Rattus norvegicus: one gene and its partners. The protein of the gene in region 2 interacts with the protein of the main gene of each other region in a pairwise test. Links are inferred from orthologs where the notes say so. Each region holds a gene or a part of one and is shown on either strand. Other genes may lie near its edges. The genes, in order: Cib3, Meox2, Cntnap2, Syt17, Fuca2, Emd and Naa10.

The links.
Region 1: the proteins of Meox2 (region 2) and Cib3 interact in binary tests that used the Homo sapiens proteins (3 or more experiments, as listed by UniProt). The two-hybrid records come from large-scale screens. The link is inferred for Rattus norvegicus from reciprocal best matches to the Homo sapiens genes MEOX2 and CIB3.
Region 3: the proteins of Meox2 (region 2) and Cntnap2 interact in binary tests that used the Homo sapiens proteins (3 or more experiments, as listed by UniProt). The link is inferred for Rattus norvegicus from reciprocal best matches to the Homo sapiens genes MEOX2 and CNTNAP2.
Region 4: the proteins of Meox2 (region 2) and Syt17 interact in binary tests that used the Homo sapiens proteins (3 or more experiments, as listed by UniProt). The two-hybrid records come from large-scale screens. The link is inferred for Rattus norvegicus from reciprocal best matches to the Homo sapiens genes MEOX2 and SYT17.
Region 5: the proteins of Meox2 (region 2) and Fuca2 interact in binary tests that used the Homo sapiens proteins (3 or more experiments, as listed by UniProt). The two-hybrid records come from large-scale screens. The link is inferred for Rattus norvegicus from reciprocal best matches to the Homo sapiens genes MEOX2 and FUCA2.
Region 6: the proteins of Meox2 (region 2) and Emd interact in binary tests that used the Homo sapiens proteins (3 or more experiments, as listed by UniProt). The two-hybrid records come from large-scale screens. The link is inferred for Rattus norvegicus from reciprocal best matches to the Homo sapiens genes MEOX2 and EMD.
Region 7: the proteins of Meox2 (region 2) and Naa10 interact in binary tests that used the Homo sapiens proteins (3 or more experiments, as listed by UniProt). The two-hybrid records come from large-scale screens. The link is inferred for Rattus norvegicus from reciprocal best matches to the Homo sapiens genes MEOX2 and NAA10.

Annotation. Positions count from the first base shown.
Region 1 is NC_086034.1:17,654,886-17,659,517, reverse strand, and holds the start of Cib3 (calcium and integrin-binding family member 3), read right to left. Parts: upstream 3,066-4,632; 5' UTR 2,996-3,065; coding exon 2,945-2,995; exon of another isoform or gene 2,815-2,944; coding exon of another isoform or gene 2,761-2,814; coding exon 2,726-2,760; intron 231-2,725; coding exon 119-230; intron 1-118. UniProt on the Homo sapiens protein: Acts a an auxiliary subunit of the sensory mechanoelectrical transduction (MET) channel in hair cells. Plays a role in regulating hair cell MET channel localization and function.
Region 2 is NC_086024.1:59,582,560-59,586,893, reverse strand, and holds the start of Meox2 (homeobox protein MOX-2), read right to left. Parts: upstream 2,870-4,334; 5' UTR 2,678-2,869; coding exon 2,164-2,677; intron 1-2,163. UniProt on the Homo sapiens protein: Mesodermal transcription factor that plays a key role in somitogenesis and somitogenesis and limb muscle differentiation. Required during limb development for normal appendicular muscle formation and for the normal regulation of myogenic genes.
Region 3 is NC_086022.1:75,107,832-75,112,197, reverse strand, and holds the start of Cntnap2 (contactin associated protein 2 precursor), read right to left. Parts: upstream 2,841-4,366; 5' UTR 2,142-2,840; coding exon 2,045-2,141; intron 1-2,044. UniProt on the Homo sapiens protein: Required for gap junction formation. Required, with CNTNAP1, for radial and longitudinal organization of myelinated axons.
Region 4 is NC_086019.1:182,189,175-182,193,051, forward strand, and holds part of Syt17 (synaptotagmin-17), read right to left. Parts: intron 2,746-3,877; exon of another isoform or gene 2,457-2,745; coding exon of another isoform or gene 2,454-2,456; intron 2,232-2,453; exon of another isoform or gene 2,227-2,231; coding exon 2,209-2,226; intron 1,620-2,208; coding exon 1,471-1,619; intron 1-1,470. UniProt on the Homo sapiens protein: Plays a role in dendrite formation by melanocytes.
Region 5 is NC_086019.1:9,718,487-9,721,508, forward strand, and holds the end of Fuca2 (plasma alpha-L-fucosidase precursor), read left to right. Parts: intron 1-769; coding exon 770-878; intron 879-2,150; coding exon 2,151-2,291; 3' UTR 2,292-2,424; downstream 2,425-3,022. UniProt on the Homo sapiens protein: Alpha-L-fucosidase is responsible for hydrolyzing the alpha-1,6-linked fucose joined to the reducing-end N-acetylglucosamine of the carbohydrate moieties of glycoproteins.
Region 6 is NC_086039.1:157,189,025-157,193,570, reverse strand, and holds Emd (emerin), read right to left. Parts: upstream 3,134-4,546; 5' UTR 3,027-3,133; coding exon 2,945-3,026; intron 2,853-2,944; exon of another isoform or gene 2,773-2,852; coding exon 2,665-2,772; intron 2,529-2,664; coding exon 2,451-2,528; intron 2,231-2,450; coding exon 2,094-2,230; intron 962-2,093; coding exon 915-961; intron 833-914; coding exon 502-832; 3' UTR 122-501; downstream 1-121. UniProt on the Homo sapiens protein: Stabilizes and promotes the formation of a nuclear actin cortical network. Stimulates actin polymerization in vitro by binding and stabilizing the pointed end of growing filaments. Inhibits beta-catenin activity by preventing its accumulation in the nucleus.
Region 7 is NC_086039.1:156,806,543-156,809,616, forward strand, and holds the end of Naa10 (N-alpha-acetyltransferase 10), read right to left. Parts: intron 2,026-3,074; coding exon of another isoform or gene 2,007-2,025; exon of another isoform or gene 1,992-2,006; intron 1,964-1,991; coding exon of another isoform or gene 1,951-1,963; exon of another isoform or gene 1,939-1,950; coding exon 1,854-1,938; intron 1,251-1,853; coding exon of another isoform or gene 1,160-1,250; coding exon 923-1,159; 3' UTR 836-922; downstream 1-835. UniProt on the Homo sapiens protein: Catalytic subunit of N-terminal acetyltransferase complexes which display alpha (N-terminal) acetyltransferase activity. Acetylates amino termini that are devoid of initiator methionine.

The DNA of each region.
Region 1 (4,632 bases), on a different chromosome or scaffold from region 2:
GTCCTTCCTGTGTGTGTCTCTCAGAGCTCCAGTTTTCTTTTCTGTAAAATGGGGATATAGGAATGCAATGGAGACATCTTCAGTCTGTCTTCACTCTTTCCCCACAGCCCGGGATTACCTTTAGCTCCGGCATACTCCCGATCAGCTCGTAGGGCACCTTCACCTCGGGGCTGGTGGTATAGTCAAGAGGCACCAACTGAGGGGCCAAGTCCTGGTACCGATAGAACAGCCTGGTGTGGGAAGAGAGAAACCAGGAAAGGCTGGGACCCAAGAGGCAGAAGGGATTTGACCCTCTTCTTGAACACTGACTGGACTCACTCCACAAAGACGGATGCTGGGTCCCCAGAAGCCTCAGGCATGAATCTGAATCTTGAGTGCACAGAGCCCTGTCACCCTCCCCATAGACAAGGCCAAGGTAGAGCGAGGAAGGAGAAACAAGGTAAAAAGAAAGAACTTCCGGGAGGAAGGAGCATTGTTGTTGGGTTTAGAAGTAGGAGTAGGAGTTCACCAGGAAAATGGAGCTAGAAGAAGGAGGTGCCAATGGCTGATTATTCCACAGTCAGCGTTTGAGGGATCTAGGGTATAACCTATATACTCCACCATCACCTCGCAGGATCCTGCTTCTACTGCTCCTCCACCCCAGCCACCGCTTCCTTTGCTGTCTACGCTAGGCAGGCTTCCTCCGATGAAGCAGGGCACAGACAAGCAACTAATGTTCACACTCCTGATGCTTCTGCTCCCCGAGTGTGGAAGTGACGGGCTCGTGCTGCTTCTGGATTTTTTTTTAAAAAGGGAACATAGGAAACACTGACCACCACACATATAACCTTTCCGTACACATTCTTCACCTGCCTCAAAGAGACCACCTTTGATACCTCTGATGTCCAAAAGCTGCTAGGAACTATCTCAGAGGAGCAAGGATATCCATGGGTTTTCTCATGACTACATACTTGAGAATGGCTGGTAAGGCTCAGTCCTAAATCCCCGGGGTCCTGTGGGAGAATGTCGTGTTTACCTTTTCTTTAAAAGTATTTTTACAGTTACGTATTTATTTGTGTGTATGCTTCAGCTCAGGTGTTGAGGTCAGAGGACAACTTGTGGAAGTGGATTCTCTTCTACTATATGGGTCCTGGGGTTTGAACCCTGATCCTCAGGCTTGGCAGCAAGCACTTTTGTTTGCTGAGCCATATTGTGGACCCATAGAGTTGGTGTCTTTTTGTGGCATCCAGTGAGCTCCTCTCTCCTCCCAGCCTTGGTCATTCTGTTTAACAATCTGGAAGCCTGGGCAGTCAGAACACCACTTATCAGGACTCTGTCCATCTGCCCTGGGAACCGATGTCTTCCTTGCCCAAGCCTCAGTTTCCCCACCAGTAATCTGATCATGACGGCCAAAGTGACCTGCCAGCTGTCCTCACAGACAATAGGCTGATGGGTTAGAGGTGTACCCATCAATAATGGATGCCCTGTACCCACACAAGAGGGGCTCGGCCTGTTGCCCCACAGCTGAACCGCAGCCGGCTTAGGTTTCACGGATAATGGATCAACAAACAGAAGGATGACATGGGAGGTTCATCAGTGTCCATCCTGCTGGGCTCAAGCCAAGAACCTGCAGTCAGTCGCCCAGGAGCTGCCACCACCCAGCACAATCTCCTTTGTGCCCCTCACAGCTCAGAGCTGGATCTCAGCTCTGCCCTGCACTCCCAACCTCAAAGCGCCAATGCGCCTCTCCAAGGCACCTTCCATGGCTCCCTGACACCCTTGGGTAAAGGACAAGCTCCTCGATACAAAAACTCAGCCGGTGCGTGGCTCAGGCAGGGTGTGACTTCTTAGCCAGGCGTTTCTGCCTCAGTCCATGGACCTCCAGGCAACATCGTCATCGAAGCTTTAAACTCGATGGTGCTACATCTCAGCTCTCTTCATATTGCAAAGACGCTGAGCATGGTGCTACAGGCTTGCGATCCCAGCACTTGGGAGGCAGAGGCAGGTGGATCTGTGAGTTTGAAGACAGCCTGGTTTACAGAGGGAGTTCCAGGACAGCCAGGGCTACACAGAGGAAACCCTATCTCTCAGGGAAAGGAAGGAAGGAAGGAAGGAAAGAAGGAAGGAAGGAAGGAAGGAAGGAAAGAAGGAAGGAAGGAAGGACGAACGAGAAAAGGGAAATCAAGAGGATCCAAGACGGCAAATGACTCAAACGCCTAATCTGGTAAAGACACACCGCCTTGCCTGATGACCTGGGTTTGACCCCTCAGACCCACGTGGTAGAAAGAGACTGAAAGCTGAGTTCAGTCCCAGAACCCACTTAAAGGGGGCAGAAAAAAAAAATCAACTCTACAAATTCTCTTCTGACTGCTCCAAGTGTACCAGGGCACATTTGCACACTCACAAATCATGGCCCCCACAATCATATTTCTTTTTTTTTTTTTTTTTTGGTTCTTTTTTTCGGAGCTGGGGACCGAACTCAGGGCCTTGCGCTTCCTAGGCAAGTACTCTACCACTGAGCTAAATCCCCAACCCCTCACAATCATATTTCTTAATTGCAGCCAGCTACAGTGACACACACCTGTGATCGATCCCAGCACCCAAGAGGCAGAGGTAATTTTGAGGCTAGCCTAGGCCTTTCTCAAACAAACAAGACAGAAAGAACAATAACCAGAAGATTGCACAAAGGCCCAGCACTGACTAGAAAGTTGTTTTGGGGTATCATTTCCCTTCATCCCCCACTCACCTCATGATCTCCTTCCTCGTGAAGAAAGTACAGTCCTGTGGGGAGAGAAACCGGCTTGACCCAGATCTGCCTCCGGGTCGTCTCCCCATGTACCCCTCTAGGCAGTCCAAACCCACACAGATAGCCTGATGTCACAAATAGGGCTCTGAGGAGACTCTGAGCTGCCCGTATCCCAGGCCAAGCTGTGCCCGCCTGGCAGGATCCACCACACATGCCCACCTGGTATTCCTCCAGCTGCTCGTGACTAAACACAGTCTGCTTGTTACCCATGCTGCACACCGCAGCCTTGAATCCACCGGAACTGAAATTACAGGTGGCTCCTCAGGGGCATTTGTGCACACAGTGTCTGCGCAATGACCCCTGGCTGTCACCCGCCCACCCATCCAGTCAGTTGCCCCAAGCTTAGTGAAGCTCAAGTTACAGCCTGGCTCTCTGGGCAACCTTTTGACTGTGTCCACAGGTGTGGAAGAGGGCTGTGAGAGGTCACAGAGAAGCCATTCTGTCTGGGACGCCTTCAAGAGAAGGCCATGCCCACACCCAAGCTCAAACCCTAGCTTTCCCCCTGGCTAGCTGTGTAGCCTTGGGTAATTGTCCGACCTCTATGAACCTCGCAGAAAGAATGGAAATTACATTGAAAGACCCCCCTCCCAGAAAGGGAATTGTACAAGCCCAAGGCCCTCAACTATAGAAGTAAAAAGTAAGTTTTTAGATATGTGGGACAAGCTGACCCATCATTTAGACGAAACAGACCAGAAAAGAAAACAAAATGCAGAAACCAGACTAAATTATGGGCACTACTCCATGGGCCACCTGACAGGAAAAAGAAAAAGTCCCTGACCCCCTGGAAGCCCTGACCACCATGTACTTTTTGCTAACTCATTGTTATGATTATAGCCAAAATAAGTAACATACACGTATGCCTCATTTACTCCACCAATCACATCCCTGTAACCATGCATCTGCTTCTGTAAGCCTGCTTCTGCTCCCCAAAATACTATAAAAAGCCCACCCTGGCTCTGCTAGGCGCGCCAGTCTTCCGAATTGACTGGGACGCCCACAGATACCTGTGTATCCTGATCAATAAAAATCCTCTTGCTGATTGCAGCCTGTGGACTCGGACTGGTCATTGGGCTTGAGGATCTCCCTCCTGAGGGAAGATTCTCTCTGAGAGTCTTACATATGGGGGCTCGTCCGGGATCGGAGATCCTCTGTCTAGAGACCACCGACCACCCACCGGGAGGTAAGCTGGCCAGTGTTTGTCTTGTCCTGTCTTGTCTTGCTTTGTGACTTGTTCTGTAAATGCTTAGTTACTTGGCTTGGGTCTATACCGTTTGTATTTGGGCGGGCCAGAGAAGGAGCTGACGAGCTCGAACTTCTCCCCCGCAGCCCTGGAAGACGTTCCAAGGGTGTTTAGAGCCCGGTTTTTCGGGGCTCAGCCTGTATCGGAAGGATACGTGGTTTTGGGTTGGAGGAGAGAGGAGAGAGCCGGATCCACTGAAGGATCCGGACCCTTGTCGCCTCTGTCTGAATTTTTGGTTTCAGTTTGACACCGAAGCCGCGCGGTGCGTCTGTCTGTCTGACTGTTGGAATTGTTTGTCTTCTTTGTGTCCTAATTTTCTTTGAACATCTGTGGAAATTGGTTATAGGATGCTTTGTCTTGGTCTTGTTTGTCTGGGTTGTTTTCTGTGGTATTGTCGAGTGTCTTTTTGACTTTTGTTTCGTTTTTGAACTTTGGATAGACGACTGTGTTTAAAATCTTGGACTGACGACTGTGTTTAAAATCATGAAACTATTTGCTTTGTTTGTCAAGGAGTTTTACTTGATCCTCTTGGTGCTTAACTTGGAAATAATTTGCTTGAGAAAAATTGTTTTCTGCTAGGGAGTTTTATCTTTCTCTCTTAGCCTCC
Region 2 (4,334 bases):
AAGAAAATTGATGCTTGACTTCGGTAGTCTATCAATGGGAACATTCATTCTCAGTCAACCCCAGTGACATTATCCTTCCTATTGATTATATTTCCCATCTTTGTAACGTATTAATACACTGGGTGGTTGGCACAAATGTTTATTCTCTTTACTTGTTTTGGTGTTTAAACGAGTTTCACCATGCTAAAACAAGCTTGGCGTTGCTGTGTGCTTACTTGCCCCTGGTAAAGGTGATGAAAACCACTGCTAGTCAGTATTAAGACCATTATATTAAATAACGTTGAATTAAGACCGTTATATTAAATAGTAAAACAAATTGGGAAGAGCTTGGCATCTCACTTTCCCTGTTTCCCCACCCAAAAATAACTTGTGCCTGAACAAAAATTCCTTCGTGTGCGCAAATAATCTTTAGGGCATTGGTTCAGCTCAGAAGTAGGTCAGTTTCCCCCTTGCAGAAAGAAAACAGGGAATGGGGCTTCTGGTCCTTCCTGAGGTAACTACCAACCTGCAGAAGCAAATGGAGCATTTGTGCTCATGAAGCCCAATCTGAGGAAACCCAGCGGATTCTAATGCCTTCTTAGGAACCTTCTCAGTGTCTTAGGATTTCACGCACATTCAGCAATAACCGCTAAACAAAATGACAGTGTGGTAACATTCTTAGACATAACTAATCATGATGGAGCATTAAAAGTTCACCCTGGACCTAGAAAATCGCAGGTTCAACGCGGCTGGGAAGGAAGCAGTCAGCCCACACTGGGGTCAAGAAAAGTTTCTATCATCTTTCAACCCCTTACAAAATACACAGCCCTTACTGTCCTACACTGCAAATGCGATTTTTTTTCAATTCTTCAAACTAATGCCTCAAATTGTATGTTCTAACTTTCAAGTCGCTAACACAGAAAATTAAATAAATGCAAACACTGTGCTAGTTAAGTGATGTCTTCCAAAATCTGTATCCAGGTTGCCTTGTAACTACAGGGAAGATTCAATGGAAGAAAGAAAGAACAGAAAGAAAGAAGGGAAAACGGAAAGAGGAAAGATAGGTAGGAAGGAAAGAAGAAAGGAAGAAAGTAAACATCTTTACAATGAGGAATATAGTTAAGGGCTTTGTTGTGCTTCCTGGAAATTTTCAGTTTTACTGGGCTGCCGGGATGTACTGGCTATTGAACTTTCAGGCCCCTGAATTCTTCTGGGAGGCTCCCCTTTTGTTGGGCTGCTCAGGTTACCCACACTTTCTCTGTATCTTCTTCCAGCGCTGTCAGAGCTGTTGTCTGTCAGCTCTCTTCGCTGCACCTCCAAGCAGTACTCAATTGGTGAAGGCTTTTATTTTCCACTCTTGAAATTCAAAAGTTTTGTTTCCTTTAGTTGGCTGATTGATTTTTTTTTGCTTGTTTTGTTTTATCCTATGTTAGCACCACATGAGTGTAATCACTATAAGAATACCCTTTCGTCAAGCCCTTATCTATTTATTCGCAATTTTCAGATGTATTCCTTAAACACTTCTAGATTACTGGATAATGTCTTTTTCGCCAAATGAATAGAATGCTTTTTAAATATCATTTTAAGTAAATGCTATTTAAGGAACTCTGAAAATAAAATGTAAATAAAAAGTTTTGGGTTTCTTTTTCTTTCTTTTTTTTTCTTTTTTCTTTTCTATTTTTGCGTATTTTGTCAAATCCAGTTAAAGTTCAAGATATTGTGCAATAATGTGGAAACCAAGCTAATGATAGGAAAAGTCTAGCTGTTCAGAGTTGGGAATTGGAAAGAAAAAGTCAAAGAGAACCGCATGCACGCACACACAGAGACATGCACGCACGCCCAGAGGATGCAGCATCCCAAAGAGCACACCCCGCCCAACCAGTGGATGGACCGCCACGCTCCTTAACCGATTTCGCATAGTGTCACTTGCTCTTTCTTCAACGCTTCTGGAAAACTGATTTGCGATCTTGGGGGGCTTTGAACGGCTGGATGTAGATATATTAACTTCAGTGAAACACGTGCTCCTGAATTACAGGGCCGACCCTGCATAGATGAATTCGGCCACCAGAGAGAGGAAACGCTAGCTGCTTCTTAGTTTGTCTTTCTACAAGAACCATCCCTACCTCCCCTGCATCTTCCTAGCCCAGAGCGCACTCTCCCCAGGATTGTTTTGCCGACACTCACCTGAACTGTCGCTTTTTCTTTTGCTGCCACTTCTCTTCTCCACTTCTGCGGGTGACAGCGCTTGACGGCCATAATCCCCTGGTGCGCACGCGGCTCCGGTCGGGGTGCTGGAGCCCAGGCTAGAAGAGTTGGAGCACAGGACCGGAGGGCTGCTCCCCAGCTCCGGGGGCCCTCCGGAATCAGGCTGCAGGCAAAGGCTGTGCCGGGCCGCGCTTGGCGGGGAGGACATCTGCGGGAGGTGCCAGTTGCTTTGCAGAGCCTGGTGCTGCTGCTGCTGGTGGTGGTGATGGTGGTGGTGGTGGTGGTGGTGGTGCCCCCTGTGATGCTGGCTGGCAAACATGCCCTCCTCATTGGGGTATCCCGCGATTATGCAAGACGAGGAAGATGTGGAGAGTTCGGGGTAGGACATGTGGTCAGATCTTCCATGGAGGGCCAGAGAAGACTGCGAGAAGGGGTGCAAGCCTTGCGCTGTGGCGTGGGGGCTGCGCAGGCAGCCAAAGAGGGGGTGTTCCATGGCATGCAAGTCTCAGCTTCCAAGCAGAAGACTTCACGAAGGTCCCAAAGTCCACCAAGCGCTGTCACTTTTCACTAGAAATCCTAGGACTCTCCCCCACTCACTCCTAATGTAAAAGCCGCGCGGGTTTGAGCAGAGCCCGCTAATCCCAGTCCTGAGCCGAGCGGCCAGTCTCCTGCACGTATAAACACTAGGACCTGGAGGAGCTTCCCTTGCAGCTGCTCAGATGTCAAGTGTGGGAGAGGTGGAAGCCAAAAGAAGGTGGTCCCAGAGAACTGCTTTCAGGGGGGGAAATGGCTCTGAGAGGTTATAAATAGAGTGTAATGTGAGCTGGGGGCTGGCTTAGGAGCCCAGCGCTGACCACATGCAAACTCCCTCCAAAACTCCCGCTCAGTCAGCGCCACCGTACTCTCTCATTTCCAGTTCCCAATTGCTGGCAGGACAGGAGCGGCTGCCCCACGCCCGTCGGGTCCTGGGAGCTTCCACAACAGTTAGTGGAGCGCCCAGAGCCTCAGTAGCTCAGGGACACCACCGCGATCTATCCCATAGATTCCCGTGGCCAGACACAGAAGCACTCGACTATGCTAAGCCAGCACCCCGTGTCTGTGCTCGCTCACTGTTCTTGGAACCTAGATTTCCCAGCCTTGGTGGGGGTTGCAGTCACCTACAGGCGCTCTCTGACTTTTCAGATCACAGAGAACTTATTAGAGTTCAAGAGAAGGAAAAGAGCGAAGCAGTCTAGCTTTTCAAACTCCAAGACCACTCGCACTTCCCGCATTCAGGGGCACATTATATTTTTCCCTTTTAGGTGTTTTAGGATAGATTGTTAGAAAACCCGCACCAGAGAGGAGGTTGTAGGGCTGAGCACCAAGGATAGCACAGAGCTACTCTGAGTGCGGAATGGAGAGGTAGCCAGTGGGGTGTGCCTTAAGCAGAGATGGATGCAAGTTCTGGTGCCTTGGTGGCACATATTTATGTGCCACTCCAAGTGGTGTCCCCCTTTCTTCTGTTTCTGACCGTGTCCTCCCAGCCCTATGTCTCTTTAACAACCCAGTTTGTTCAATTTCCTCAACACTCGCTCACTGGGAAAGTTTTCTGGGTCAGGAACAACCCTAAGAAACATCAATTGAGCAAGTATAAGTTGCTCCCAGCTTCACCCTTTCTAGTCTAACCCTACAGGAGCCAATTCACACACACACCACCCCGTCCCCCATCCGTTGAGAAATGAAATTTCTTTTTTTAGCTTACAGTGCTCCTCTTTGCATACATTCCGTTCGTTCCTTGCCACCTCTCTGTTTTAAGCAGATAGCAAACTCAACATTTCCTCAGAGTCGACCCTGCTATGATGGTTCATTTCCCCCAGGTTTACAGCCTGGGCTCCTGGAAGTGAACTACGAAACTTGCCCACTGGTGAATTTGTGAGAGCCGGGTTGCGGTTGACACAGCCTTTAGCTTGCTTGACCTGCCACAGAGTCTACTAGAGGTCCTCTCTTTAACCCACAACAAGCTTTGGAGAATGAGCTGCAGGAAAGTGGGTCCTGTCTGTGAAGTGTCTACAAGGAGGATGTCTGCAGTAGCCTACTGTGTTCAGGGCTTGGGCGTGCCACTACGGTTAACTGCCATATGTTTATTGTCTGGGTGACCAGAAGATGATGGT
Region 3 (4,366 bases), on a different chromosome or scaffold from region 2:
ATGATGACCCCTCCTGGTTGAGATGTTCATTAACTTAGATTCATGGAGTTACAATTTTTCTGCTTTAAGCATTTCTACGTATTAAAAACATAAGTATCATGCAGTGTTTCAAAATACAACACAAAATGCATATTTTTCATTATGTGCAAAAATAAATTTGAGAATTCCATATCATCGGTAAATTTAGGTATCACTCATTACCATCCTCACTCTGATGTTTTAGGCAACTTTTGTTTGTGTTTCAGAGTTCGTATTCATATATAATAAAACCTTATCTTAACCTAATATATTTTAATTATTTAGGTTTTGAAATAACAATTAAATGAACCCTAAAGCTCAAACACGAGAATTTTAAACATATTGACTTTGGTGTTGTTCTTCACTGAATTCTAAGCAGCAAAAGCTAAGCTCATATTTCTGAAATAACTTTTGAATCTTTGAACTATACCAATGCAATAAGGGCAAATATAAAATTCTGGATGCATAGTGAATGATTCAGATCGACCCGTTTCTACTCAGACACACAGAAAGATGAGATACAGAATTCTGGAAGCTACTGGGAAATAAGGACTCTAACAGGAAAGTACAACGTATTTTAACTTTTAGTAAGTCTGTACAAAACGTGGAAGCCAATTCCATTCCACTGTACAAGCATATTTTAAAGTGAAAATTAAAATTCCACCAACATAACTTACTAAAGGTAGCTTTACAATTTCCATTTAAGTCTATAAAATCAACACAGATAAAATAGCACATATTTTTAGATTTGTGTATATTTTGAGATAAATAAAAGTTTCAAGTTCACAAAAACTTAGTTATGTTCTTTTTTGCCACCTCTTTCTTTAAACAACGCAGAAGAATCTCATGACGTATACTTGGGAATATGTCCAAATACTACTAATCATAGCACTGGTGATGATTGTCAATCAAAACATAAAAGAAAACTATTTCATGGCTGCTCTGAATATTTTATACGGTGTAATAATTATATTAATATGGAAATACAGACAAAGGTGAACATTAATGCAGCCACAGAATCTATAAAGAGGTATGGGGTGCAAATCATGTGTGAAGCATCTAGAAACTTCTGAACTTATGTATCCTAAGTGGAGAATATTTCCCCTTGAACTCCATTCTCCTTCAACAATGGACTCACCCAATCTCACAAACAAGGCTATGCTTAGGAAAACTGTGCAAAGTGTTACAGAATCAGTCCAGCGTTTAACTCTTTCTCAGACAAAGCCAACTATACCTTTCCCCTCTTCATACACAGTATAAATTTCTAAAGCAATGCATAAAATTGGCCAGATCTTCCATTTCTTCCACCCCCCTCCTTAAAAGCACAAATTTTTGAGCAGTTACATCATTTTCTTAAAAACTTTCAGACCATCTCTTATGCCATTGCACTGGCTGTCCCAAGTCCTAGCCTGCATGAGTCATGCTCATTACTCCAAACCACAAAGGAATTAGTGCAGTGTCAGTCTCGATATTAGCCTCACTTTAAAAATACATACAATTAAGGAAGGGTTAAATGAGCATTAACTTTTTAGGAGGGCCAAAGAGATTAGTAAACGCATAGGTGCCCAAACTGCTTGAAATATGTTCCTCTTTCTTCCTCAGACCAACACAAGTAAAAGCCATCAATAAAAATCAAAAACTTATGCTAGTTTTCTGTCCTAAGTAATATGTAATCATCTCCATACTGCACTGATAAGTATCAAGAAACGGCTACTCTCATCACTCTAACCAAGCACTTGCGGAGCAATCTTCAAGACTAGAAACAACTTTCCAGAAGCATCCAGCACTATGAAAATCTCCACTGAACAAGGAGCTTCCTCGGTTTGGAGTTTCTCTGCGGCAGTGGCTACAAACAGGAAGTATCCTACACACACACACACACACACACACACACACACACACACACACACACACATGAGGGACAAGAATTGAGAATGCACCTCAGAGTTGATACCCGGGCGCCCTTACATCAATGCGGCACTGAAGTGACTCCAGTAAGGAGCCAGGAAAGCAGAGAGCTACTTACGGAAGGAGGAGGGAGCTGTCCAGGCTCTGCAGATGAAGCTGCTGAGAATCCAGAGCGAGAGCGCTGCCCTGCAGCCTGCTCTCAGAGAAATCACCATCCTTAGCCTCCGGGCCAGTGGTACTCCAAAAGCTCGCTGCAGAGATGCAGTCTGCCTCTCTGTGAGGTTCTTGAAGTGAACCGGTCTGTCCTCAGATGCGAGAGGAAGCCAAGCTCCTCCTGCTTTGCTTCCTCTCCCCTCACCCTCTCTAGGTTCCAGTTCTGGGCTGGCAGCAGCAAGGGAGGCGCAGCCTGGCTTTCCCCTCTCTGTGGGTCTGGTCTCTTGCTCTGAGAGCCAGTGAAATGCCAGGGGAAGAAATTCAAACCGAGAAGGAATAGGAGGGGTGAGAGAGAGGAGGGGACTGACACCTACCCCGCCCTCTCTTCTGGAAAAAAAAATCAAAGGACGCGTGGGGGAAATCTGGAGAGAACTCAGACCGTAGGAAAGAACCGAGAGCGATGGGTCCGGTGATGCTGCGGTTGCCACTGCGGGCGAGCGCTTGGGTGGCCACTGGGCAGCGCGACTCAGAGGGTTTTCCAGTAGGCTGTTAGCTCCCAGGCTGAGATCAAGGATGTATGGAGCTGAGGCAAGCCCCCGTACACGTTCGGCCTCAGCGTGGCGCGGCACTAAGAAGCATCGCTGGAGAGAGAGCTCAGCAGCTACCACCGCAGCCGGGAGCTGGAGACTGCTGCCTCCAGCAGCGCCTGCAGACCCGGGCGAGCCTGGCGAAGGGAAGCTTCCCCGCTTCTTCCCTTCTTGTTCCCCTCCCCTCCCCTCCCCGGCCCCTCCTCCTCCTCCTCCTCCTCCTCCTCCTCCTCCTCCTCCTCCTCCTCCTCCTCCTCCTCCTTTTCTTTTCCTACTGCACTCCTCTTGCTGTAACAACCTTTCTGCCCTGCCTTCGTTTGCTTTGGAAGCAAAGGAGAGAAGGAAGCTAGTGGCTCAGGTCCATTAACTGGAGTCGGGGCCAAGGCTGAAGAGATGCACCTCAGTCTAAGCGGGAGGCGCTGCTGTCCGCGGTGCTGAAGTTGATTTGCTGTGTAATCTAAGAACCCTGCTCCAGACCTGGCTAGTCCCTGACCCAGCAGTAGGAGGGAAAAACCTCTTGCTGGGATGCTTTCTCTTTGGCTTCTTTCCTCCCCTTCAGATAGAGATGGTACAGGCTCCCGGAGCTTAGAACTCCCAAGAACCACAATCAGGAGTCCGAAAGGCAGGTCTTCCGAGTGATCCTAACACCAAATGACAGGTCTAAACATCCTGGCTGGCTGTAGCAGAGAAAGATAGGATTGTTCAGAGGTACCTAATTCAGGTGTTTTAAATGTAATTAATTCACATTTCCATATATATATATATATATATATATATATATATATGGATGCAGACATACATATATACACATTCACCAAACACATGATGCTGAGAAAACCACACACCACAAACACAAACAACCCTAAAAGGAAAGGTAGAGTAAATATGTTGTCAAATGATAATTACTTCGGTGTGCTTAAGTGTTGAAAGTATTAATAACTAAGAAGGTCTATAGAAATGCTGCTTTCTCTAATCATTTAGATGATTTTACTAATAATTCTCAACCTTACCCCTCAGCTCCTATCTAGCCACATTCTGCACTGATTTGTTTTCCTAGCATCCAGTCCAAGAAAGTACTTGTATTATTTCCTCCCCAAAGAATCAATCCTTTCACAGCCTTTACTGACACAATTAAGAATTATAGATCTCTAAATACCTAATGATGTTTAGGGAGGTTTGAGGAGGAGTAACGCTGTCTTTCAGAGTTATGCAATAAACATACATTTGCCTTTTGTGATAAATAAATTTTTGTGATGATTTCCCCACTCTGTGAATAGAATGTGAATTTTAATGTTATGCTTATATCTTAGAGAAGTCTACTGTAAACAGAGCTATGTGTTCACTACATAATCAGTATGGTGTTAAAGGGCCTGAGTCAGCATTAATTTATCTCTCCCCCCACCCCTTATTTGATTTTAAGTTCTAGTAAGAACTACAGATTGAGTAAAGTCTGTAAAAATAAAAAAACATAGTTGACCAATGATGGAGTAGAACAATGTTATGCCACACATTTTAAGTCACTCTTCTCATCATAAAATAGGGATTTGTGCAAATTAGAAAATGTCTTTTTTCTATTTGAATTCCTCAACTCCGATATGTCAGTGAACACATTCCAGAATTCTATATACAACTCTCATCAACCAATTCCAAGAGTTTAAAGGGACAGAACATTAGAAATACATTGTCAAAGAGCACAATTT
Region 4 (3,877 bases), on a different chromosome or scaffold from region 2:
AAATAAGAAAGGCCACCATGCCTTTAATCCCAGTTCCCAGGAGACGGAGGCAGGCAGATCTTTGTGAGTTCGAGGTTTGCTTGGTCTATAAAGACAGTTCCAGACAAGTCAAGGCTACATAGTAAGACCCTGTCTCAATAATAAACAAGCCAACAAACAAATGATGTAGATTTTGATCATCAACAAAGTCTGAAGCACTCTTAAGTCTTTTCTAAACACAAATGCATCAAACCTGTGTGGTAAATACTAACTTTTTTGTATCGTCCCATTTTACAGATGGGAAACCAGGGCTCAGAAAAGTCAAGTAACTTTCTCAGAGCTAGAAAGCTGTCATAGAAACTGAACTTGGGGCTGGAGAGATGGCTCAGAGGTTAAGAGCACCCGACTGCTCTTCCAGAGGTCCTGAGTTCAATTCCCAGCAACCACATGGTGGCTCACAACCATCTGTAAAGAGATCCGATGCCCTCTTCTGGTGTGTCTGAAGACAGCTACAGTGTACTTATATATAATAAATGAATAAATCTTTAAAAAAAAAAAAAGAAACTGAACTTGACTGAACTCACACATGCTGACATGAAGCCAGTGTGTCCTGGAAACATCTGAAACTTGCTTCTAGAAAGAGCACACACGGCATGACCTCCAACCCAGAGGAAAAATGGGGCTCCAGGGACTTCCGGAATTTCAGCCCAAGACTTAGATGAATCAGTTTCGAGTGCTACCCCTGGATTCCGTTTGCACCCAGCACCATCTCCTCTCTGGGCCTCCCTCCCAGAGTTCCCAGCAGCATCTGTTGTTAATTATTACTAGGTCTTTCCCAACCCTGGTCTCCTGGCTCCTCCCCAGACTCTGACCACATCCTTCTCCCTGCCACAGAGAGGTGGATCAGACATGTGGCTGAGCTTCAAAACTGCATTCCCAAAATATCTGAGCGACTGGCAGATGGAGATGTCGTATTCGGGTGCAGGAGGGGAGTGGATTAGAAATAAAACGGAAGAAGCTAGGGTGAGCACGACCAGCATTGGAACATCCCTCCCTGGGGATCCGGGTTATAAGGCCTCGTTCAGGCCAGCTAAAAGCAGCATCGGAAAGGTGCTGGCATCTCAGATTCACTGAGCATTTACTTGGTGCAGGCTTGGGGCTGGGCATAATGTCAGTCTGCCATGCTGCCTGGGAAGGAGGCACTCAGACACTGTTACCTTCACAAAGTTCCTTAGAAAAGAACACAGGTCCTTTTCTGCTTGGATACTTAGACTACTTAAAGTGTCCCCAAGATTAGCATAGCCCGGCTAGCATCTCAGAAGCTTGGTGTGAGCAGGAGCCTCACCACCAGCTGGTGCTACCAGCTGGCCCACAAATGAGGGGGCACAAAGAGGCCCTTCTCAGCTATGTCCATGGAAACTCTATCCCCCATCCTGCCCTCCCTCCAGTGGAGAGGCTGCTGGGAGGTAAATTTCCAAGCAGGGTACTCACAGCCATGGAGGAGTCTGGGCAGGGAAAGGTCCCAAGATCTCCACTTCATCTTCACTAGACTGGCAGCAGCTGGACTCATAGCACCTCTGACAGCAGTGTTGACAAGTCCATCCACACAGCAGCACATCAGAGATTCTGGAAAGAAAGCCCTGGGGCCATTGGGAGAGGAAGAGAGAAGAGAGATAACACCCCGAGTTATAAGAAGCCCATCTGGGATTGACCCACCCATGATAAATAGGCACCCCAGAGCAGAATTGCAAGTAGGGGGAAATTTTCTTATTTATGCGCTGTGGCATACAGGAAGGCAAACAGAAGTGCTGCAGCCATTCGGAGCAGCAAAACACTTGCAGGTGTTTGCCTTTGTAGTTTATGTGTGTGCCTTTCTTGACAGGTGGGCGGTTATTACAACATGGAGAGGGCCAGACAATATGTTCTCAAACACACAATGCATAGGGTTCTCTTCTGGCAAAAGGGAAAAAAGATAATTCAGAAAAAAATAGCCCCAGGGACATGCAACTAAACTGGGGGAGTCCGGTTGAGTCAGGACACACATGCTGTCTGTCCAGCCATGTCCCTTTTGCCAGGGTCTCCCTTTTGGGAGAAGGGAAGAGAAACTGTACCCTTGTTAATATCCTGTGATTCAGGACTCAATCATGCCCCAGCCCCACACCAGACTCCAAACGGAAAAGCAAGCATTTGATTAGAATCCAGTCCAAACAGATGATTGAATTAACCCACCTCGTTCAGTGGTTCCAACTGCCCTTTTAGAGAGCCACGGTGAAGCCAGGGTGAGGGGCAGAGAGGGGAGAGAGGAGAGGAGAGAAGGGAGAGGGGAGGGAGGGAGGGAAGGAGAGAGAGAGAGAGAGAGAGAGAGAGAGAGAGAGAGAGAGAGAGAGAGAACCAGTTTAGCAATATTCCAGCAACTCAAAACAAGCAAGACAAAAACAACAGAAAGCAGCACCCCACACCTTCTTTGCACTCACCATTCTGGGGAGGGAGCTGACTTTACTACCAAGGTATGGCTATGTTTGCAGGGCTGCTGGGAGCCTCTTGGTTAACTAACAGCGAATAAACGGGAAATGTGAGCTTTTCCATTTGATGTGCTGTTATGAATCAGAGCGGGCAGATAGATTGTCATGCTACTCAGCACACAGCCACACTTCAGGGGACTCGCAAACCTTCCCAGACTGAAATAGCCAGAAGCCAGCCCAAGAGGGCCTGATTAGCTAATCTGACAGGCTGATTCCCCCGCCCCTGCCAGGGTCCTACCTTCCAATCCTGCTCCAATCCTGCTGGTAGAGAGCATCCTTCGACCACCCACAAATGGGGGAGGGGCTGGAAGGAAGCCAGGAGCTGGTCCTTCCTCTCTGGTTCCACCCCATACCCCATCTTCTTCTCATAGGTCCCCAAGCTCTAAACTCCCTCCTCTTCTTCCAAGAAGGGCTCCTCTACGGACCCAGGATTTATTTTCTTTGAAAAAAATTGTAACATTTCGTGTGTGTGTGTGTGTGTGTGTGTGTGTGTGTGTGTGTACATGCACACGTGGGCATGTGCATGTCTCTCTCTCTCTCTGTGATCACACACATCCACAGCACCATGTGGAGGTCAGAGGATGACTCTCGGGAGACCAGTCTCTACCTCCTCCACCTGGCTCCAAGGATCAAACTCAGTTCATCAGACTTTGTGGCAAGCGCTTTTGCCAGCTAAGTCATCTTTACAGGCCCAGGGTTTCATGATTTCAGGAAATGTGGTGGTATTAACCCATTAGGCAGAGGTCAAATCCTGATGACCAGCTTAGGACAGATCCTAGACAGGAAGGGAGGTGCAATGCAAGCTAGGGCTTTGGGGTGCAGAGGGAGACAGTCTGGGTTTGTTCAGCTACTTGACTCTTGCTCACTCCTATCCTTCCCTGTAAACAAAGCAAGGTGGGCCCTCTAAAGCTGGAGATAGCCCATCTTTAAATCCAGCCCGGATTTAATTCTGTAGCATTCCCCTTGTGTTATTTTTTTCCGGCCGCCTTCTACCACCATCATGTGATCCTGGCTCCCTTTGCCTGGTTCCCTGTAAGTAATTGTGCACATGTGTCTGTGGAGGACAGTGGTCAATGTCAGGCGTCTTCCTCAGTTGCTCTTTCTGGGATGGAATCTGGAGCTCATCAACTCAAGGTTGGTTGGCCAGTGAGGCACAGGAATCCTCCTGTCTCTGCCTCCCAGCAAAGGGTAACACACCACCAAACTCAGCTTTTACATGGGTGCTGCGGACCTGAACTCAAGCCAAAAGAGTTCAATTCTAGGAAAAAAAATCAATTAATAATAGCACAGGTGCTCAAGCTCCTTGAAGTGCCAGGGACAGCCTCCTGGGGAAGTACTTAAGAGCACTAATCACAGATCCCTCCAAAGCTCAAACT
Region 5 (3,022 bases), on a different chromosome or scaffold from region 2:
CTAGATTTCTGTAAGTATCGTTGAGAAATTGGGAGAACAATGAATGGTTGTCCCTGTGTCCCCTTATGGTTTCCACTGTTCTCTCTTGTGCTGTGACTCTTGGGTTAAACATGGTTGTCTTGGTATAGAAGCTGTCTGATGTCCCAATCTTTAAAAAAGGACAAAAACAACCATTTGTTACAATTTTATGTTTTCTTTCACATTGTGATTCAAGACTTATATTTTATTTGCGTGATTTTCCGTTCTAGCCTGAGGCACGTAAAAACCAAGCACCGTGTTTGGCTTTCTGCTGCATCTCTAATAGTGAGAACACTATATCCGCAGGTGGAAGCCTAGCTAGCTCCCGTTAGCTTATTTCTACGCTCTGTTCTCAGCTCCACATGAGCAGTTCGAAGAGAGACATTAGCTCACCGATCCTCTCACCCGCCAAACTTCCTCTCAAGCAGGTATGGCAACACTCCTGTGATGCCAGCATTGAGGGAACTAAGGCACCAGGACTGTCTTGAGTTCAAGGCTTGTCCCAGCTACAGATTAAGACTGACACAAGACAGAGCAAAAACCAACCTGCTTTTAATATTGGAGGTTTGGAAAAGGGAGGGACTTTTCATACCATATGGGAGGAAAGTGGGCCTTTTATTTATTTTTTTTACTAGTGGTGACATTGTCAAGTATCTGTCAAACAATTGCAGACATGAACCAGAAATACGGACAGACATGGGATGTAACTTGATACAATGGCAGGGTCTTTTTGTCTGTTTTTTCTAACCAGGTACACATCTAAACCTGAGAAGAAATTAGTCTATGCTATTTTTCTGAAATGGCCCATCTCTGGAAAGCTGTTTCTTGGACAACCCATAGGTAGTCTGGGGGAAACAGAGGTAAGAATGAATTTTATCATGACTCTTCCTTTAGTTGGTGAGGGTAAACCACGTTGGGGAGAACATAGCTTGCTTTAGCTTCTAGGGGAAACTTTCACGTGAACCTCATGTGAAAGGAACCTTAATGGCCTCCCTGTCTTAGTTAGAGTTTTCCTGCTGTGAACAGACACCATGACCAAGGCAACCCTTATAAGGACAACATTTAATTGGGGCTGGCTTACAGGTTCAGAGGTTCAGTCCATTATCATCAAGGCAGGAGCCTGGCAATGTCCAGGCGGGCATCGTGCAGGAGGAGCTGAGAGTTCTACATCTTCATCTGAAGGCTGCCAGGAGAAGACTGACTTCTAGGCAGCTAGGATGAGGGTCTTAAAGCCCACACCCACAGTGACACACCTACTCCAACAAGGCCACACCTCTAATATTGCCATCTCTGGGTCAAGCATATTCAAACCATCGCACTTCTCCAACATCACACCAAGAACATGTCAAATCAAAGAAAGATGTTGTCATTCTTTTGTGATTATTAAAGGCTGTCATCAGACCCAGTGGAGTGCCCTGCAATGTATCTTGGGCCCTTTTCTAGAAGTTGATGTGTTTGGAATGAAATATCCTGTGACTCTCTTGTGACTCCCCTTCACATTTTAGTTCTAACAATGGAGGTTGACCAGGTAGAAAACTGGGTTTCAAATCTAGTGTTAAAGCAGTCTCCAAACCTGGACGCGGCAGTGTTTCGTTGTTTTGTTTTGCTTTCTTTAAATCTATGTCTTGCTTGGCATTAACTAGTATGATTAAAATTCAGGGCTTTGTTTTGCGTTTTTTCCATGTGATGAAGCGTTATGGTTCAAGTAACCCTAGAGTATGTTCAGAACTACTTACTTGACTTCTCTTAGAATGAGCAAGACCAAGACTGCGAAACAGCCGTCGATACCACTGGTTAAATCCATACACTATTGAAGGGTAAAACATCACTGGAAAACTTGACAGTAGTGACTACCCAGAAGGAAGTCGTTATTCTGGGTGTAAGAACTGGGCAGAGTGCTCCCCGTTACTTCCCGCGTTGTCTTCAAGCATCCTTCCCAACCTGTGCACACGTTTGTTCGTGTCTCAGGGGTAACAGGGACAACAGGAATGAGTGTAAGAGAGCGTGCGAGTGCCAAAGGTAGAAGTGGAGCCCTGTCTAGCACTTTTTAAGAAACTCTAATTCCTTAGCCAGTGGACATCACCGGGATGTATTTGGGAACATTTACGCATTGTCCCTGTTTCCGATTGCAGGTAGAACTACTGGGCCACGGACGGCCACTGACTTGGACATCTTCAAAGCCAAGCGGCATTGTGGTGGAGTTGCCCCGGCTAAGCGTTCATCAGATGCCCTGTAAATGGGGATGGACTCTGGCACTAACCAATGTCACTTAACCTGCAGCAGACAGATGCGTTCTACAGGAGCCTCTAACCACAGGAAACGTCAGGGTTTCCTTTTTTTGTTGTTGTTGTTGTTACACTAAAGAGACTAAATGATATAAAAATGATATAAAAACTGAAGCCATTACGCGATGCAGCTTCCCCTCTCTTTCTTCCTAAATTCTTCCCTACATTGCTCGTGTCACCGTCTGACCATGCTTTCCTCCAAAGTCTCTTCCTACTGAGTCCATGTCACATGTCACTCACGGCAGGTGGAAATCTTTTTCCAGGGAAGCTAGGAACTGGCGATGCTATGGACTGAATTTCCTCCCAACTCCTCGTCTTATATTGAAGCCCTAACACCCCACACGGCTGTTTTTAGAAACAGAGACCTTGGAGAGACGGGTAAGATCAGGCTGTCATAGGGTTATCCCTAATACCAGAGAATCTGCTGTCCTATGAGGGAAGGAGACAGTAGAGATACAAGAGCACAGAGGAAAGCCACGTTAGGAGACATTCATCCACAAGCCAGGGGGAGGAGTGCAGAAGAAACCGAGTCTCTCAAACACCCTCATCTTGGATTTCTGCCCTCCAGGACTGAAAGGAAGCATAACTCCCTGTTGTAGAAGCCATCCAGGATGTTTGGTCTCTCCCATATCCCCCATCACCCTGTCATTGAATCCTTGTATATAATGCAGGCAGTATGTAATAGATTAGATTTGAGGTAGGCATCCAGGGAAGTCCAT
Region 6 (4,546 bases), on a different chromosome or scaffold from region 2:
GGAAAAGCCACACTGATTATTGAGACCTAAAACCAAGCACCTGTGTGCCATGGCAGCCCAGCTCCCATCCCAGTAGGAAGAAACAACAAGGTAAAAATAAACATGTTTATTATTGTGTCCACGAAAGCAAAGCCAGGATGGCCTTGTTAATACCCCCTGAAAAGGTGACAACAAACAGGCATGCATGACAACTACCACTGCCACCACCAAGTTTTCCTCTAATGAAGTGAGGTCCTCCCCACCAGATCCCCATACCCTAAGAGTCAGAGGCAATAAGGCTAGGAGGCTCCAGAGGAAGGTACATACGGGCCTACTGGGCTGTGGAAAGCCAGCATTTGCTGCTTCCTTGGCAAGATGAGGTGGAGACAAGCACTGCCGTAGGCTAGGCCCTGTACCCTCTAACTAGAATACACAAAAAAGCCCCTACCCCCCACCCCCAGCAAACACTGCTAAGGCAGTCAGCCAAAACTCCTGTTAAGAGCTGCTCTGAAACCAATACCCTTAGGGATCCATCCAGAAGGGGTTGCCTTCTTCAGCTTGTATGGAATAGTAAACAAAGAGCAGAAAGGCAGCAAAGGCCAGGAAGAGTAACAGCTGGCCCCAGAGTGGGACCTGTCGATCCTGGCCCAGAGCAGCAGTAGGGGCCTGCTTTTCTGGTCGAATGGCACGTCGGGTAAGCCATGAAGAGGGAGAAGATGAAGAGGAGGACACAGAAGAGGTGGAGGATGTAGGATAATATGATAAGCCCAGGGAGCTCCTGGAGACATTGGAAATGGGGCGGTAGTGTGCGATGCTCTGGTAGGCACTGTCTCGGCCATAGATGGGGCGTTCCCTGTAGCAAAAGAAGGGGACAGGTAGGCAGGAGAGTCTGAGTGTCAAACTTGTCCCTGTCCCTACATGTGTTCACTACTCACCTATCCTTGCCTTCCTCTTCTGAAGAAGAGAAAATGTCATCACGCACCTGCCGGATAATTAGGATTAGAAATGGGAAAGAATGGTTTCCCCAAATGTCTCTGGCTAGCCTACTCTAGTCACATTGTAGGGGGCAGAAAATTGCCCCCCCATCATTCTGGGTCCATGCCCTCTTTAACTGTGGGGCCTTGCCACCCAGTTACAAACCTTGTCAACTTTGTCCCACCATCCTTTTATTCCCCAGGATTCTCAGGAGGCTTAAACCTACATCCTAGAGTACAGGTGCTGTTATATATGCTCAGATCATAAAAGTTTGTGGGCTGCAGAGATGCCTCAGTGGTTAAAAGCACCTATTGTTCTTCCTAGGTACCTAAGGTCATTTTCCAGCACTCACATCAGGCAGTTTACAACTACTTGCCATTCTAGCTCTAAGGGGAATCTAAGGGGAAATCTGACAATTCTGGCATCTGTAGGCACCAGCACTCATGCATACTACCCACAGACACATACATGTAGTGAGAATTCTTGAAATTTGGCTTAAGAAACACAGAAATATTATAAGAATGTTTTTATTTTAACCCTAGATGTGGGATATGGGGCTGTTTTACAGCAGCTATGATTTGCTTCATGCTTTTGAGTTGCAGATAGTTTCTGCAATTTTGTGGTATTTGGAATTCTGGGAATTTTTCAGAGGGTATGTAAATACTAGAGCCCCAATAGGTGAGGTTGGTTACAGTTTGCTAGTAGCTGGGGTCAAAGAAGACACAAGGAAGAAAGAAATTAGATTCAGGGATCTTTAGCTCTCTTTCTCTATCTAATGATTGGGGGTGAAAGGGTGAGGGGAACCCACAAACTAACAAAAAATTGGCTACACATAGGTATAATTAAAGTAATTAAATTTTTAAAAATGCCAAAACCCCAAAAACATTTGTGTGTGCTGCTGGATGCTGGAGATGAAACCATAGGTAAATGCTCTTCTACTGAGCTATATATGCTCATCCCCAAATCTAATAGTTTTGGAGGTTCCAACGTAGAACTTTTGAGCCAACAACTGTATGCTGATCCTAACCATACTTGAAGGCCTAAGATCCACTCTCTGCACCTAGTATCTCCTTGAACTATCCAAACCTAGAATTCCCTAAGGCTACATACACCCCAGGTATGCCTACCAGACAACTCACCTGGTGATGGAAGGTATCATCAGCATCTACAAGTGAGGTCCCTGGCCGGCGGAAGCTCTTGGACATGCCCACAGACTCGGGCTCCCCGTATGTCCTGGTAGTCAAATAGCTCTCCTCATAGTAGTCATCATTATAGTCTTGAGGAAGAAAACAGTGGTAGAGGAAAAAGTGGTGCCCCTTACCTGGCCTCTTGCCACCTTCCGCCCCCCCCCCCCAGTCTGTGTGTGTGCTGTGCCAGTTTCTTCTCTCTGAAGCCACTGAGAACTGGTACAAGGGGGTGAGGTCTGGAGTTTCACTGTGCCCAAATCCCTGAAGCATGGGATAAAGACATCAGTGCCCATCCCACACCTGCCTTACCCTTGCTCTGGTAAAGTAAGGCGTCCTCCTTTTTGGGCAGATCATACATGTCTGAGTCCACGGAGGCTGAATCCAAGTCTGCATGTGGAGGAGAAGGTACAGGACCTTCAATCTCCAGACTTCCCCCTACTCCCTCAGTAGCTTCAGCCACACCCTCCCTCCCTGCGCCTTGTGCCCCAAGCTGCTCTTTGGGGCTGTGCAGTTGGAGCCTCACCTGAGAACCGATAGGAGAATGAAGACGATGACGAGCTGGGGGGCGAAAGCCTCCTTCTCTGGGTCTCGTACTCGAAGATTTTCTTTTCGTAGAGCTTGCGAGTGGAGCCTGCCCAGACACAGGGTGCGAAGCGGTCAGCGGGTGCGAGCCGAGCACCCCAAGAGCACAAGGGAACACGGGGAGGGGACCTGAGGGAAGGAGGAGGTAGGAAGAACGCTCAGGGAGGAGCGCGGGAAAGCGGGGGACCGAGAGGTTCTGAGCGCCACCGGCTGCAGCATACCCACAATAGGCCCATGCGGGATGTTGTACTGGCGTAGCACTGCGGCCAGCTCAGTATCGGACAAAACCGCATAGTCGTCCATGGCAGACACGGCCGGCACCTGGAAGCGGTGTTGAACGCCAGGGGCGGCCGGCACCTATACACAGGGCCCAAGAAACAGACAGCTCGGAGCCTAGCAGAGGAAGCGCCAGCGCCTCAAGAGCGGCTGTGGGCGCGTCAAGCCGCCGTCACGTTTGCGTCACAGCCGCTGCTACGCAGGTTGCGCGCTCTCCTCAGGGCAGGCCCAAATCCGCCGGAGCGGCCAGTACAGACCAGTCTAGCAGGCTGGACTGGCAAATACAAACGTCACACTTGTGTGAGATTGACTCGAACAGGAAGAGGGAGGGGCTTGCGGGAGAGATTTTGGGGCAGCGGAGACTTCCTTTGAGAGCTAGGCAGCTGAGGGGCGGGGCTAGCTAGGCTATCTGAGGGTGCTAAAGCTCAACGTACTAGAGGGGCGACAAGTGTTCTCAGCGGACCAAAACTGGCTTGTGATTTCCCAAGCTGTGAAATCTTACACACCTTTGTGGCTTCATCCTGATTTCCAGTGCCTAGGATTCTCAGCCACAGTCTGGTCCACAGCAATGTGAAGAGTCCAATCCTGAGAGCAAACCTTTCCACAGCGCCTGACGCTGTTGCGAGCTCTTTGTGTGCACAAGTGCTGTCATACAGGACTCTCATCACCTACATAACCACCCACAGACCCCTGGCACTCGCTACCCATCTCCGCTGGTCTTCACAGGCTCCATGGCCCTGGCCTGCACACCTGTACAGGCCCATTCCCACCGTCCTCTCTGCCGCCTAGTTCCATCCGGGAGGAAATGGGGCTAGCACTGGGACAAGAGGCCGCCAACACTGTAGGACCAAGCAGCTTTCCAAAGGTCCAGGGCATGCCAATGGGCACAATCAGAAGGTGCCTGCTATGTGATGCATGTAGATGGGTACACCTTGTACCTGCCTAACTCACTGTTCCATCCACCTTGGGCCCTGAGGAGTTTTGAGGGGAGAAGTCTTCTTTGGCAGAGTCTCTAAGCTTGGTGTGACCTTAGAGGCCTAGACAGTGTGCAAAGCCTAGAGCAGTATCTCTCAACCTTCTTAATGCTGCCGACCCTTTAATACAGTTCCTCATATTGTGATGACCCCACCACCACCATAAAATTATTGTGTTGTACTTCATAAGTGTAATTTTGCTATTATAAATTATAAATATCTAATATGAAGGATATCTAATATGTGAGACCCAAAGGAATAGTATCCCAGAGGTTCCAAACTGCTGGCCTAAAGGTAAACCATGGGAATTGACGGAGGCTCACTAAGGATCTGGATCAGAGAAAGGTTGCCTTGAAGAGTGAGCATGACCATTATATTCTACGAAAAGTCATGTGGCTCTAGGTGTAAGCTGCCCTTTACTGGAGACATCTAGAAGAGGGGGTACATGCAGAAAAGGTGTGTGGGATGCCTGATCTCTTAAATCAGTGATTCTCAACCTTCCTAATGCTGTGACCCTTGTTGTGACCACAACGGTTACTCATGTTGTAGTGACTCCCAATCATAAAATTATTT
Region 7 (3,074 bases), on a different chromosome or scaffold from region 2:
ATCCTGATGGTAGTCAAGAACTAGATAAAGCATAGAACTGTCTTGTCTTGTTTTTCTGCATAGCCTTGTCCTGAACTCATTTTGTAGACCAGGCTAGTTTGGAGCTTAAAAGACAGATCCACCTGCCTCTGCCTCCCAAGTGCTGGGATTAAAGGAGTGTGCCACCACTGCCTCACAGCAAATATAAAATATTAATGGAGGAGTGGTTCACGCCTGTAATCCCAGCACGTTAGAGTCTGAGGCAGGATTGGCATAGGTTTGAGGCCAGCCTGGGCTACATAATGAGTTCCAGGCCAGCTTGGGCTAAGTAAGAGATCCTGTTTCACAAAAAAATTTTTTAAAAGGCTACAGATAGGAAAAGCCTGAGCAACTGGGTAACTGAATAGGCCAGGATCCAGCTAGGATCTCTCCAGATAAGTGCAAAGAGGAGTTGGACTTAAGCACTTGGGGTCCAGGAGGTATAAACTGGAGCTCCTACTGATGAGAGAGCAAGTATGACTAGGAGTAAAGGGCTGAGAGGGTAAAGCAATGCAGCAAAGAACATCAAGGTAGGGGAGCTGCCTCTGAAATGTGAGGCTGAATAGAAAACCCAAGAAATCATTTTGTTCAGCCCTAGAAAATTACTAAAGATGTTACAGAGATCTGTAGAAGGCCAGGAAAGTGACATGAGAATATGGCACCCAAGACAGTTTATCTGCCAACTCCAACTCAGTTGTTGAAGGAAGCCAGATTGGGGTCCCATCCTCAAACATTTGACTTGTGAGCTCAGTACGCTCTGGGCTGTGAAGATAGTATCCCTGCCATATAGGAGCTGGAAAAAAAGCATACCCCACTATGCACATTCACAAATTTCCCAAGGCCACTGGGTGACATTTATTGTAAAAAGCACATGGGGTGAGGTTGGGACCAGGTAGGGCAGGTTCTAGGAGGCAGAATCAGAGGCCTCTGAGCTGTCTTTGACATCTGTGCTTTCTGTGGTCTCACTGACCTCACTGAGGTCCTTGCTGTCCCCACCACTATCCTCAGCAGTCAGGCCCTTCTCCTCACGACAGGCCTCTCCTGAGCTCAGAAGCACGTTGCCTTTGTTCTCCGCCTTGTTCTCCATGGCCGACAGCACCATGTGCCTGCCCTTTTCCTTCAGCTCCAGGTGCCGCCTCAGCTGCCGCCGGGAGCCCAGAGGGAAGCGGGTGGAAAGAGACAGGGCCTAAGTCTCCAGACAGGAGACAAGAGGAGCCAGGCCCTGGGGCTGGCTGGGGGAAGGGACACAGTGAGAAGTGGTAGGGCCAAGGCAGGAAATAGGACTGGGTAGAAATGTAGTTCAATCCTACCTCTGTCCTAAGCCTGCTTCATCTGTAAAATGACATGAGTTCTATTGCCCTCAAATACGCTGCTGGGAAGCCCCCAAGACAGAGCAGTGCCTTTCCAGGAGGCTTGGTCAGAGAGACCCTTTCTCCCTAGCCCAGTTTAATCCTAGATCTGAGCAGGCTGCCCCCAACCATAGTAGTCCCAATTCCTCTGTTAAAAAAAAAATCTTCCTACTGTCTCTCCTATTCCACCCATCTCCAGACTTCTTCCCCAGAAAGCATCCCATGGCCTCCTTTACAGTCAATGAAGGCCATGCCCTGACTTGACAGCTTAGGGAGTAAGGGAAAGAGGGGCTCTGATTCCTAGCTTTACAACCACAAAAGCTGACACTCAGTCTCGGTCTTGCCTCTAGTCGCCACTGCCTCACTCTGTCTCACAGCTCTTTGACATCTGTACTTTCTGTGGTCTCACTGAAAATAGACACCTTTCCCAATTACAGAATCTCCTCTACTGCTGGAATTGCTGCCCTGGCCTGGCTGAACTCTTACCTCATCAGCCATCTGCGTGAGGTCCCGCTTCATTGCATATGCATCTTCCCCATCTGCATAGTATTTGGGCTCCACTTCGCTGATCCTGGGGGTAGGATCAAGACACATGCCTAGGGGCAAATTCTCCAGGTTCTTAGGCTACTGGGGTAAATGTCATCTCCCCCTGTAGGACCTTTGTAGAGGCAAAAAGCCAGTGTAAATGGGTTTCTCCTTTTTGTTTTTCATTTGACTGGATTCTTGTTCAACAGCTATGATAGTTTTCTCTGCTCTTCAAGTAAAGCCAAATAGCATGTAGCATCCAGGGCACTTCTGATTCCTAGACTTGCTACCACTTTGTCCCTAGCCCAACCATCAAGGACTTGTGTATTGAGTTGAAGTCCTTAATTCTGCCTTCCTCTCCCTGACCTGCTCCCTGTTATTTACTGAACACATAGTTCCTCTGCTAGGAAAGAGGGACACTGTACCTGCATGTAGATGGTCATCATAGACAACCTGGTTACTCACCAGATGGATGAGGGGAGGGAGGTGTGTGTGCACAATTAAGTATCCCTGACACTGGAAGAGAAACCCGTTGATGACCTAGGAAGGTTCCTTGCCAGTCTTTAGGGATACATGCTGGGTAACTTCCTCAGTTGCTTTCCATCTTATTTTTTTCAAAATAGGGTCTCTTACTGAATCTGGAACTTGTCCATTCAACTAGGCTTGTTGATTAGTGAACCCTAGGGATTCTCTTGTCTTAACCTCTTCAGCACTAGGATAATAGGTACAGGGCACTGTATGTGGCTTTTATACATGAGTGCCAGGCATCAAACACAAGTCCTCACAATTAAGCTATCTCCTCAGCACCCATCTTTTGAGACAGGGTCTTGCTATGTGGTTGAGACTAACCTGGAACTCCCTATGCTGGGACTGCAACCCACAGTCCTCCACTTTGAGTGCAGAGATTAAGAGACATGTACTACCATACCCAGCTGGGAACTGCTGACTTAGCAGGTAAAGCAGTTCCTGCCACAGAGGCATCTTAACTAGGTCAAAAGTCCCTCCATGAATATGGATGTTGAACCCAGAAAAGCTGAAGACCACCATCCTGTTCCAATGGTGTCATCTTCACTGGACCCCCTCAAAGTCTAGTGTGGCTCAGTGGTTCCTCAAGTTAGTCTATTCGAGCCTCACTTTCAAGTGGCACTAGGTACTACTAAGTCCTCTCTTCATAGAGATGGT